Callithrix jacchus: one gene and its partners. The protein of the gene in region 1 interacts with the protein of each later gene in a biochemical or structural test. Links are inferred from orthologs where the notes say so. Each region holds a gene or a part of one and is shown on either strand. Other genes may lie near its edges.

What was found.
Region 2: the proteins of SKP2 (region 1) and CCNA2 are reported together in a solved structure, tested with the Homo sapiens proteins (2 studies listed by BioGRID, with this or other methods). The link is inferred for Callithrix jacchus from reciprocal best matches to the Homo sapiens genes SKP2 and CCNA2.
Region 3: the proteins of SKP2 (region 1) and CCNE1 form a complex in vitro, tested with the Homo sapiens proteins (2 studies listed by BioGRID, with this or other methods). The link is inferred for Callithrix jacchus from reciprocal best matches to the Homo sapiens genes SKP2 and CCNE1.

Annotation. Positions count from the first base shown.
Region 1 is NC_133503.1:169,473,458-169,477,813, reverse strand, and holds part of SKP2 (S-phase kinase-associated protein 2), read left to right. Parts: intron 1-1,272; coding exon 1,273-1,416; intron 1,417-3,064; coding exon 3,065-3,199; intron 3,200-4,356. UniProt on the Homo sapiens protein: Substrate recognition component of a SCF (SKP1-CUL1-F-box protein) E3 ubiquitin-protein ligase complex which mediates the ubiquitination and subsequent proteasomal degradation of target proteins involved in cell cycle progression, signal transduction and transcription.
Region 2 is NC_133504.1:75,869,958-75,873,263, reverse strand, and holds the end of CCNA2 (cyclin-A2), read right to left. Parts: intron 2,704-3,306; coding exon 2,570-2,703; intron 2,232-2,569; coding exon 2,183-2,231; 3' UTR 1,427-2,182; coding exon of another isoform or gene 1,342-1,426; 3' UTR 1,044-1,341; downstream 1-1,043. Other genes in the region: EXOSC9 (exosome complex component RRP45), read left to right, coding at 965-1,043, 1,342-1,426. UniProt on the Homo sapiens protein: Cyclin which controls both the G1/S and the G2/M transition phases of the cell cycle. Functions through the formation of specific serine/threonine protein kinase holoenzyme complexes with the cyclin-dependent protein kinases CDK1 or CDK2.
Region 3 is NC_133523.1:26,996,623-27,001,682, forward strand, and holds the start of CCNE1 (G1/S-specific cyclin-E1), read left to right. Parts: upstream 1-2,032; 5' UTR 2,033-2,176; intron 2,177-2,560; 5' UTR 2,561-2,584; coding exon 2,585-2,607; intron 2,608-2,707; coding exon 2,708-2,795; intron 2,796-2,989; coding exon 2,990-3,058; intron 3,059-5,060. UniProt on the Homo sapiens protein: Essential for the control of the cell cycle at the G1/S (start) transition.

The DNA of each region.
Region 1 (4,356 bases):
AGGAATAGTGGGTTGATACATAAGTGGAAAGACAGGAATCTAAAGTCTGGCTAATTCCAGTCTTAACCATCACAGCATATCTAGTTTTGCTTGGCTTAGGGTTCAGGTAGCTCCCAAATTCACTTTTCTGTGAGGTGTTCATCTTCCTGAAAAATGTATATTGTTTAGGAAGAAAATGAATGTTCCAAAACTTTTCCTAGGTTGTTATTGAATGCTAGTTAACCTATAGTTTGCCTTCTTGCAAGAGGAGACATCAAGCATGAGATTCAAGACAACCAGAGCAGTGCTGATCTGGTGCCTATCAGTGCTGACCTTGGAGGCCAAAATGGATTTCTGTCTGGGCAAGAAAGATACAAAAGTGTGCTACTCTCTTAAGGATATCTTATCTACAGTCCACCTTTTTAATGATAAAGGTCAAATCACACACTGACAATTTCTCTATGATGAAATTATTTCATAACTCTGGCCAGTGGTCCTCTTATTTCGAGCACTATTAAAAAAGAAGATTCTAGAACACTTAAACATTTAAAAAGTTCCTTCATGTGCTTGTATTTTACATTTTCTTTTTTTAAATTGAATTCAAGATATTAAAACTCTCTTACTGTGCTATTCAGTACAGTTTTTGAATGTCCTTTTTGTTTTAGAAACACCATTTTTTATATAATCTTTTATAAAAATATAACAAAAAGTTGTATTTTTCCTTTCTGTTTTCACATTAGTTAAGCTTAAAAGATATTATAAGGCACAGCTGAACTATGGCTGTTCCTACTGGCTATCTATGACAACCTTATTTCACAATAAAATAACGCTAACTTTCCTTTGTTTAGTAATATTTTCATGTTACTACAGTAGTCGTGGTAATTGCTTAACAAAAGTGGCTAATAGAATCCTCTAAGAAGTTTTTAATCTACTTGCCTAGTAATATAATAATTAATTGATTTGAGCAATCATTTCTTAAATTTATCAGCTTGAATGCTGGAATATTATTCTCTGGTTCTAGATTATGGCAGTGCTAATATTCACATTGAACCATCTAAATTGGAAGTATATATAGAAAGAGAAAGATGGAAGCTTATCCTTGGTGAGATCGAGAAAAATTTTCTAGTACCTCAAAAATATCATAACTAATTGTATAGTCAACTTAAAAACAAAGGTTCTTTCAGAATGTGCGTAAAGGGGATTTAACAGCAGTGCTCTCCTTATTAGTAATGTTGAGGGTCTCCAGCATTTAGTGTGACTGACTGGCCAAATTAAGCACCTCCTCTTTTCTAGGTTTGACGAGTCTCTGTGGCAAACCTTAGACCTCACAGGTAAAAATCTGCACCCGGATGTTACTGGTCGGTTGCTGTCTCAAGGGGTGATTGCCTTCCGCTGCCCACGATCATTTATGGACCAACCATTAGCTGAACATTTCAGGTAAAGATGAAAAATCTCTGGAAAAGATGATTTCTAAATTTTGAGGTAGAAACAGATCAAAGCTTTTTTTCTTAATTCAGCCTTATAGCCTATGATAGGTTATCTTTGCAGTGTGGGATATTAATTGCATACTATACTTTGAGGACTTTGTGCTGAAACAGCATAGATTTCAATGACACTGTTCCCATTTCATTCGAGGTTATTGTTAATCTCTTCCTAGGGTAAAAGAAGCACAGTTGTCTTCTCAAGTCCTCAACTGATGGGGGCCGTGAGTCCCACAGGGCAGGCACAAGTAAAGCACTCACTGGCAGATGCAAGGCTGCCCGGATATTTTCCCACCACCCATTTCTGATAAAAAAAAAAAAAATGAGGAGTGTTTTCTTATTTGTAGCTTGGGGTTTATGATTTTGTTGGGGAGAAATTTGGAACCTGAAAAAACATTGCCCTCTTTTTGTTCGTTTTGTAGAATATTTTGAAAAAGAATTTTCTGTTACTGGTAATGTTGTAATACTAAGGTTACTGCTATCACATACTTGAGTAGAATAACTAGGTACTGAACAGAAAACAAACTGAGGACTGCAGAGCTAAAGATAAAACATGTCTCTTGACTTCAATACTTTTTCCTTTCTTTCTATAGTCAGAATCACGTTTCCCTCTGCTTTTTAATCCCATTCTCCTGTGGCTGTACCTTCTCGATCTCCTTCACACGTGTGATTTCCTTTGTTTACTCCAGGGTTGGTTCCTGGCTGCCGCCTTTTTCAAATCCAAATGCTGTCCTTGGACAAGCTGTGTCCTATACACCCACATTTATGCCCAGGACTCTCAGTTCCTCATCTATAGCTTGGCCCTCTTTCAAACTCCCAAATTTCTAATTACCTAAAAACTTCTGTACCTGAATTTCTTACAAGTACTTCAATATTAACATAACTAAAATCCAATTTGGCTTCCTTTCCCTCCCCTTCTGCAAGACGGAGTCTCACTCTGTCACCCAGGCTGGAGTGCAGTGGCGCAATCTTGGCTCTCTGCAACCTCCGCCTACTGGGCTCAAGCAATTCTCCTGTTTCAGCCTCTCTAGTAGCTGGGACTATGGGTGTCCTCCAACACTCCTGGCTACTTTTTTGTATTTTTAGTCAAGATGGGGTTTCACCATGCTGGCCAGGCTGGTCTCAAACTCCTGACCTTGTGATCGACCCGCCTCTGCCTCCCAAAGTGCTGGGATTACAAGCGTGAGCCACTGTGCCTGGCCTGGCCTCCGTTTAAAACTTGCTCTTCCACTGTCTTCCCTGTTCCACCGCTGCTCACCCACTCACCCTTGCCAGAAACCAGGAGCCATTATAGTCTTAATCTCTCCTTATCACCCACATCCAGCTCCTTGTTGTGATGCCCACTCATTGTTTCCTATGTGGGACTATATTGGCAGCAACATCTGTACTTGGCAAAAAATCCCCTTGAATTTTAAAATGAATGAGAGTGGGAATACACTAGTAGCAATTTGTTTTATGACGAAAGCTATAGTTAATGCTTGAAGTGTGTATTTCGGGTCTTGTTGGTGATTGGCTGCTCATTTGGGGAGCAGGAGGGGTCTGATTTGATCTGAATGTACCTGTGAGAGCCACCTATGGAGACCCTTTTTTCTCTCCCTGTTTAGCCCTTTTCGTGTGCAGCACATGGACCTGTCAAACTCGGTTATTGAAGTGTCCACCCTCCAGGGCATTCTGTCTCAGTGTTCCAAGTTGCAGAATCTAAGCCTGGAAGGCCTGCGGCTGTCGGATCCCATTGTCAAGTGAGTGGCAGCCAGAGTGTCACAAAGGCAGTTGTTTTTATGTGTATGAATTTTTTCCTGTATGTAACTAGGGTGCCCTTCTAGCCACATCCAGGTGGATACATAAAGTATCTAGTACAGTGCTCAAGCTTCTGCAGAACTTTTCAGGACTCGTTGAAGCAACAAAAGCTTGAATTCTAACTATATGCCAGGCCCTGTGCTAGGTTCTAGAGATACAAGGGTGAACAAATAATGCATGTGTATTATTTGGGAAGAAAACGAATGTTCCAAAACGTTTTCCAGGTTGTTAGTGAATGCTGATTAAGCTATAGTTTACCTTCTTGCAAGAGGAAACATTGAGCAAGACATGTCTGTTTCCTCTTGCAAGAAGGTAAACTATTTATGAGCAAGACAGATAATTACCATGCAGTGTGTTTATTAAATGTTTCGGTGAATATGTGGCAACACACGGGCGGCCTTCTTAGAGGAAGTGACTCTTAAGCTGAGTATTGAAGATATCTAGGTAGGAGATCTCCAGGTAATAAGACAAAGGAACCAGCCTAGGTAAAGCTTTCTGTGTGGTTCTAAACTCGTAAGTAGTTGGAAGTTGCTGGCGCACAGGACTCAGGAAGGGGAGTGACAGGAGGTGAGGAGAGTCAGGGACCAGATTGTAATGGGCCTGTATGTCTTACTGTAAGAAGAATGGACTCTTCCATCAAGAGGGAAGCATGGGCCGGTCGTGGTGGCTGACACCTGCAAGCACTTTGGGAGACTGAGGTGGGCGGATCACCTGAGATTCGGAGTTCGAGACCAGCCTGGCCCACGTGGTAAAACCACATCTCTACTAAAAGTACAAAAATTAACTGGGCATAGTGGCAGATGCCTGTAATCCCAGCCACTCAGGAGGCTGAGGCAGGAGAATCGCTTGAACCCAGGAGGCAGAGGTTGCCGTGAGCTGAGACCATGCCATTGGATTCCAGCCTGGGTGACAAGAGCAAAACTCAGCCTCAAAAAAAAAAGAAGAAAAAAAAAAAGAGGGAAGCATGGTGGAGAGAGTGGTTCTGAGAATGCAAGGAACATGTCAAGAGTTGAAATTTAGGAAATTAACCTGCCAGGCACCATGAAGGGTCCACTGAGGATAGAAGAAGCTAGAGTAGTTAAGGATACTGCTGTGTTCA
Region 2 (3,306 bases), on another chromosome or scaffold:
GGGAAAACTGAAGGCAATATGCTTAGTAGGAGTGTAATGCAAATACTTATATTCTCAAGGAGATAAATTATTGCTTATGAACATTACTAGAGCCTAAGCTTTTTGTTTAATTACTCAAGTAAATAGGTAAGGAAAGGAATTCCCATTGATTGGGACCCTTATTTAACTTTCCCAGTGGTTATTTCTATTTGGTATTATTCTTCCAGAACTTGTTCCAGATGTTTACTCTCTGTGCAGTGATGTAAGCTAATGCTGCATAGACCTGTATAGCACTGAATATAACAATTCCCTTATTGTTGAAGATGTCAGTTGTTTCCATTTTTTCACTGTTACATTTTCAACTGAAAATAATGAAGGTAGACCTAAGAATTGGAGAAATGGAGCAAAGAACAGGAGAAACCAATCGAAAACTAAAAATACAAAGAATTGATGTGGGTTAATTCACATTTTATATATATCATTACAATGATCAGGAGAAAAATGGGCAAAAGATGTGGAGCAGTTCTCAGAGAAAATACAAATGGCCAGTAATATTTTTCATGGTCAGTTTTGGTAATAAAGTAGGGCAAACAATTCAGTTGGCTCCACAAAAGATGAAACATAAATTTCCCCCTCACTTTCCTATGATGGCATGTACTAAATTGTCACACCATTTAAGAACCTATAGGAAATAAGAGTTTAAAGGAACAAGTGTTACAGATGAGTTCTAGAGAGCCCTACGAAGCTGATTTAGAGAAAAGAAAGCCTCCACCTAAAGAGTAGCATGAGCTGGCTCTCTATTATAGGCAAATAAGTTACTCCTGACCTCAGGTGATCCACCCGCCTTAGCCTCCCAAAGTGCTGAGATTACAAGTGTGAGCCACCATGCCCAGCCCTGGAAATAAGAGTTTTAGAACATCTGATAGAAATAAACTCATGTGGAAATAAATTTTCCAAGATTAACTTTTTTTTTTTTTAAACAAAGATGCTCCCATAATACTCTCCGATAGTGAAGAAGAAGAAATGATCATTTTAGAACCAGACAAGAATCCAAAGAAAATAAGGTAACAAATTTCTGGTTTATTTCAAATGTATACATATACTGAACACTTCTAGAGGTTTGCTCTCTGGTTTTACTCTCATCTTGCCACACGACTATAAACAAAAAGACTTCCCTTTTTCATTAGATATCCATCTGTTCTGTGATTTACACCTTGTGACTTATAAAAACTCTTTGGATACCACTTTTACTCATAGCTGACACATTTTATATCCTATTAGAAAAATAAGAAATGCCTCTTATTTCAATAATCCAAAATTTAACAAGCATACTCTTAGTAAATTCTTACTTTATATTCACAGAACACAGACCATCAGTGTAAAACAGGAGAAAGCACCAAATAAAAAGCCAGTGAAAAGAAGAAAAAAGAAGAGAGCTGCCAATTAAAGCTAACAGTTGTATATTTGTATATAAGTATTAAAAGGGTATTTATTCCATTCTAACAATCCTGGGTATTTTTTATTCACAAATCCATTATAAAATCTAGCAGGATTTTTAAAAGTTTTTTGTTTTTAATGGTATGCTTTGAAATAAACCTTCTGGAGCATTTCTTGTCTGTTAATTTGCACATAAGCTTCCCACCTCTCTCCTGCTCCCAGCCTCTGTTGAGTTTACCTCACAAAACCTAATCAAGTTTTACAAAGAGCCAAAGTCTAGGGATCTCCACTCTACTGGTAAGTACAGATTTATTCCAGATATGCTTAGATTATGCTCAAGTCAGCAAATTAATCCAGTTGCTTAGGAATATGAATGTCAGAATTTGAGAGTCTGTTTTCCTAAAACTAATTTTAGAGGAAGGCTTTTCACTTTCCATTACAGTAAACCAAATTAACTTTTCTAAGTGAAATCCTGAAGAAGTTAAATTTGGCTTGCAAAGTTTTCCAAATCAATTTATTGTTATAATCCTGAGAGCTGGCATCATTAATACTTTAAGAAAACCACTTAAAATTAGCCAAATATCTAAGACAGATACATATACAAAAGATATACAAATTAAAACCATTTAAAAAGTAATGGATACCATAATTTGTACTTTGCCATAACTTCTGTATTCAGAAATGATTGTAAAAACCTAAATTAAAAACTATACACCATATACTTTGAGTGATTTACATCTTAGAAAGCAAAGGCAGTCTTTCATTGTTACAGATTTAGTGTCTCTGGTGGGTTGAGGAGAGAAACACCATGATACCTATAAATAGGGGAAAAAAACATTTTTAGTAAACATTCACTGGGTAAAGAAGATCATGGAATAATGTATGTGTTGGGAACTAAAAAATGCTATATCTGACCGAGTTGATGGTTTTAGAAACATTGTCTAATACCTGAAATACACATCCATGCCCCTTCCTTCTCCCTTCTCCCCTAGACCCAGGACAGAAAGCATTAACTACAACCTTCGAACACATAACCAGTTAAGAGAACAGATTCTCAAGGAGGCTATGGCAGATTCATGAATAAAGTTAGAATGTCAAAGATCTCTAAATTATAGTCTAGAAAAGTAGCTTCAATATCCAAGTTAATTCTTACTTTGAATGTTTGTACTTTTCTCTTATTGACTGTTGTGCATGCTGTGGTGCTTTGAGGTAGGTCTGATGAAGGTCCATGAGACAAGGCTTAAGACTTTCCAGGGTATATCCAGTCTTCTGGACTAATGATTCAGGCTACAGAGAAGGGAATAGAGAACCCCTGAGTTTTGCTTTTAGTAACACACCAAACAGAGTTAACAGTTGGCATTAAGTTTATGTTACATTCCAGTACTAATCTTTAACTCTTCCAACTAGTTTTCTCAGGCCACTATTCCATCTCTGAATCCATTTGTTGCTGCTTTCCCTGCCAGCAATAGATCAGAGACTTTTTAAAAAGCTCACCTTTCAATCCAAGTTACAACTAAGCTTTCCACCTGACAAACAGATGCTGTACAACAGGTAACATGCCTTAAACTGTATATAACCATCCCTCAGTATACACGATGGATTGCTTCTGGGACCTTCCCCGAATATACCAAAATCTCTATACCCTCAAGTCCTGCAGTCACCCTTCCATATATATGGGTTTTGAATTCCCTGAATACTGTATTTTCAATCCACATTTGACTGGAAAAAGGTTCATGTGTAAGTGGACTCACACAGTTCAAACCTGTATGAGTGTTTTTCAAGGGTCAACTGTATGTATTTGAAGTTTTTCCAAGTAAGAACATCCAGGCAACCCTCAGTTTTGTAGGACAATTACTTAATCTGGCACAGGCATTTGAATTACAAGGTAGG
Region 3 (5,060 bases), on another chromosome or scaffold:
GCTGTAATGACCAGGAAAAACAGTGTCTTGTCTGCCATCATTATAATAACTCATTTATTGAGTGTTTACTGTGTGCAGGTATTGTATGGGAGTCAGCTACATTATCTCACTCAATCTTCACGATTACCCTTGGGAGTAGACAGTTGCCACCTGTGAAACAGGATAACCGTGGTATCAACATGAATAGGATTATTGGGAAGTTTCATTGAGATAATATGATACTTTGAAGGACTTAGCCCAACGTTGCCATTTTCGAAATACCGTTTATGATACCTGTTACTGGTGATTCCTAACGGGCACACGATTGATTGGGGGTTCAGGTGCCTGGTGAGTCCATGCTGAGCAAGCAGCCCAGCAGCCTTGGCCTCAGAGCGCTTGGGGGGTCACAAATGTGTAAGCCTCTTCAATAAGACCCTGGATCTAATGTCAAGAAAAAGGTCACTAGGGGAGGGTGAGGGGCAGGACTGAGACTTTAGCTTAAGAAGGGCCCTGGGGAACGTTCCAGAGCCTTCTTTTATGCACGTCTTCCTGAAGCTGAGCACAGAGAATACTCTGAAGTGATGACTGTTCCCTACCTGTCTCTCTCATTAGCTGGCAAGCTCTGCAAGGGCTTGGCTAGTGCCTGTCTTTCATTCAGAAACACAATTTAAGTGTCTCCTTTGGTCCAGGCACCCAAGAACTGAGGGTTACAGCAGTAAGCAAGATAGGCAAGGTGAGGAGAGAGAAGAAACAGACTGTGTAGGGGCTGGGCTCCCAGCACTTTGGGAGGCCAAGGCGGGAGGATCGCTTGAGATCAGGGGTTTGAGACCAGTCTGAGCAACATAGCGAGACCTTACCCCTTCCCTCTCCCCCGACCCAGAAAAAAATATAAGTCTTGAGGGAGGAAAGACAGAGGAGCTGTGGAGGGGAGGCCTGAGGTTTGAGGGCAGGGTCAGGGCCAGGTCCTGTGGAGCCTGTAGCCCAAGACAGGGAGTATGGATTTGATCCTTAGCTGATGGGAAACAATTGGAAGACGTTTTGTTTCTTTTTTTGTGTGTGGAAATGGGGTCTCGCTGTTACCCAAGCTGGTCTCAAACACCCCAAGGGGTCGGCGGTCTCGGCCTCCAAAAATGCTGGGATTCCAGGCGTGAGCCACGGTGCCTGGCCTCAACTGGAAGGCTTTAAGCTAGAGAAGCAAAAATGCTCGGGAATCCCAGGGTCAGAAAGGTCTTCAGAATGCCCCGGAAAAGCTTGCGGGGGAGGGGCGCGTATGATAGGGAGGAACGGAAGAAACTCACATATTAGTTGAATGAATGAATGAATGAATGAATGAACGACCGACCCAGTGCACTGAAGGATGAATGGACAGGAGGCCAAGAATAGCAGCTGATCCCCAGGGAGCCCCAGACCCCGCGGCCTGAAACCTTGGTTCTAGGCCCAGGCACAGGCGTGGTGACCTTGGGGATGTCCCCGCCCCGGACTCAGGGCCCGGAACCCGGCGTACCCGGGGCGGGGAAGGCGTGCCTAGTGGGACAGCGCGCGCGGCGGAAGAGCGGGCGGCGCTTCCCGGGCAGGCCCCCCACACATCCCTCGGCTCGGTCCTGTAGGGGCCCGAACCCGCGCCGCCTGCCGTGTTTACATTCCACCCGCGCCGGCCACGCGGCTTTTTGCCGCTCCAGAGCCACTTGGCCCCGCCCCCGGCGCCCGCGGCCCGCCCCTTGCCGCCGCGCGCCAGACTTCTCCCGCGTCCCGCCCGCCGCCCCGCCCCGCGTCCCGCGCCCCGCGCCCCGCGCCGCCCGGCCCTCGGCGCGCAGGCCCTGTCACTTGGCTCCGCCCCGTCGATCAGGCCCCGCCCCCGATTCCCCGTCCCTGCGCCTCGCTGGCCGGCGCCGCGGAGGGGCGGACCCGGGGGCGGGGAGAGGGACGGGGTGGGGCGGGCCCCGGGCCCGGCGCGGCCGCTGAGGGGCTGAGAGCTGCGGCGGGGCGGTGCGAGGGCGGGCCGGGGCCGGTTCCGCGCGCAGGGATTTTAAATGTCCCGCTCTGAGCCGGGCGCAGGAGCAGCCGGCGCGGCCGCCAGCGCGGTGTAGGGGGCAGGCGCGGATCCCGCCACCGCCGCGCGCTCGGCCCGCCGCCTCCCGCCGCCGCCGCCGCCGCCTGCCGGGGCTGGAGCGTGCTGCCCGTCGCGGACACGATCCTGGTGAGGCTCCAGCTGCGGGCTGCGGGCAGGGACTCCCGGGGCCCGGATCGCGCCGGGGATCTGGGTGGGGGCGGGGTGCGACCAGGTCGCGGGTCCCCGGGCGGCGGCGCGGGGCTCCCCAGGAGGGTGCTGGGAGCGCGGCGGAGAGGGGTGGAGGGGGACACTGAGGCAGCCCGGGCCCCGGGAGGCGACGGATGGGGAGGGGGCGGCGGGTCCCCTGGGTCGGGGGTCGGCAGGGGTGCGGGGCGCGGGCGGGTCGCGGGTGACAGGCCACCCCACCATCGGCCATCTTCCCGGCCCGCCCTGCCGCCCGCGAGCGAGGGGGGAGGGGTGCCGGGCCCGCGGCCTGACCCCGCTGCCGCCTCACCCCGCGCCGCCCCGCAGGCCTCAGGCCGGAGCAGTCCCACCATGCCGAGGGAGCGCAGGGAGCGGTGAGTGCCCGCGCCGCGGGGCTGGACGGGACAGGACGGGTGGCGTGGGGGAGGGGCAGCCACGGGTGCTCACCCGACCCGGTGCCACCCGGGTCCACAGGGATGCGAAGGAGCGGGACACCATGAAGGAGGACGGCGGCGCGGAGTTCTCGGCTCGCTCCAGGAAGAGGAAGGCAAACGTGGCCGTTGTGAGTACAAAGGAGACAGGTTGGGGAGCACTCCCCCATCTCACCTGGGTACCTGACTTGGCTCTGCCTGCGGGGCGGGGGTCCCTTGGGCAGGAACGGTGCTCATAACCTGATCAACTTTCTCTTCTATTCTCTCTCTATTTTTGTCTTGTTTGATGTGTCTCCTTGGGGCCGTGGGGGTGGCTTCATGTTAGTTTTTGCAGGATCCAGATGAAGAAATGGCCAAAATCGACAAGACAGCGAGGGACCAATGTGGAAGCCAGGTAGGTCGACCCGGGGTTGGGCCTCTGTGGAGGTCCTTCTGCTGTCTGTGAGTCACATGGCGTTTCATGTTTTCTTGTGTCCCGATGAAGACACGCTGGTGAGAATTAATTTCTCTAATACAGCCACAGCCCATATGGCCCAGCACTGTATGTGTCAGTGGGCACCAGCCTCTGCCAGTCCTGGGGTTCCAGGAGGCTTGGTGTTCCTGACTGGCACCATCTGAGATTACAGATATGTGCTGATGGCTGGAACAACCAGCGTGGACATCACATTGTTCACTCCTCCCTTCTGCCTGGGAGGAAACTGAGACTCAAGAAGAAATTAATCCAGAGTCCTGTGCCATCCAGGGGCAAAGTTGGGCGCTTGGCCTTGTCTGTAAAAGTTGGTGAATTGGGGAAGGGTTCCTGTGTGTTCATAAGCAACAGCACCCCCCCCCATTCTATATCTATTTTGTTTGTCGTGGTACTTAAGAACCTCCTCATCTTCTTTAGGTTAGGTTTCAAATTCTCCTCTTTCTGGCCCTGAAGTTCTTCTAGCCCCTCCAGCAATTACCTGCATTGATCCCCAGCTCAGCCTGACCTCAGCAGGAGTATCAGTGGACCATTCCATGTAATGATAGGTGGTGTCTCAAGATATTTCCTTGACGGCTTTTCTTTTCTCTCCTTATGGAATTCCTGCCGAATTTCCTGCCTGCAGGGTGATCATCATTGTAATATTAGAAGTTTCTTGCAGGAAAAGCTTGTACTATCTCTTTACTTTCAGAAATGACTGGAGACTGTAGCTATGGCAGGAGTAGGGGAAGCAGCCTATCTCTAAACTGGCTGGTCAGGCCTTCTGCCTCTATCACAGATAAATGCTGAACATTAACAGTGTTTGAGCTGAGAGCAGGAATCCCAGCTAGGTTAGCAGAGGAGCAGGTCACTTAGCACAACAGCAGCCAGGGGACGCATGTTTCAGGTGGGGACGCATGTTTCAAAGCAATGGGCTTGTGTTCACAGTAGCCATTGTCACTGCACATTAAGGCCCCCCCCCAAAATAAGCATTTCTGAGGAGGATTCAGTGAATATGGAAGGAAGAGTTGCTGATTTCAAAGAAGGCTTCCTTGGAAGAAGTCATTTCAGAAAAGGAAATGAGATGGCATATCCAAAGTTTTCTTTTTCTCCCCTTAAAAAAAAAAAGTATGTTCAAATCAAGCAAGTTGATTTTGTAGGTATTATAAAATGAATCCTGACTTTGTGAAATTCAGGATTGTTTATTTTCCCAGCTGTGTTTTGAATAGAAAAGAAACTTCCAACTGATGGTGAAGCAGGGCCGTCCCGGTTGCATTCTTGGAGTTTTAGAAGCGTGTCTGTTCTCAAGGATAGCCTGAGCGACGAGGGTGCCTGGGACGGACTGTGGCTCTGTGCCCTGGCCACAGAGCATGAATTGCTGTGCTACTGGAGTAGCCATATCATTTCCCACTAGAAGGCACTTTCGTGGTTATCCAGAGATGAATGGCAACAGATTTCTGTACATTTTGTAGAGTAGATAGCTTAAACATTAGCTGTCTATCTATGGAGCAGTATCTTTGTTATTTCTCTGTGAAGATTCATGAAACTAGAACTCTGGGGTACAACAGAACCTTTTCCCTGTTCACATACAGAAGTTTTCTCTGGAGTTATCATACTTCCCCCCCCAGTACAACAATCCTGAGCTACTCGGAGCCACAGTGCTAGACTCTTGTGAAAATGCTTCAAGACCACATTTCGATTTTCATCTTAGGCTGTTCTGAATGAAAAGAATACCCTTTTATCTGAGATCCGTTTAATTTTTTTGCATGAGACCCAATCTTTCCATTGAAGTGGAATCCTGTACTGTTACTTTTCAGAAAATAATCCTCATAAGGAAGAAAAGTAGTATGAGGAGTCAGAGTGGTTAGGAATCCCATTGGTCTGTTGCTGTTATCTAAATTCCTTCCTAAATAAAGTCAGACGGGTCTTGCTTTGAAACTTGGTGTACACT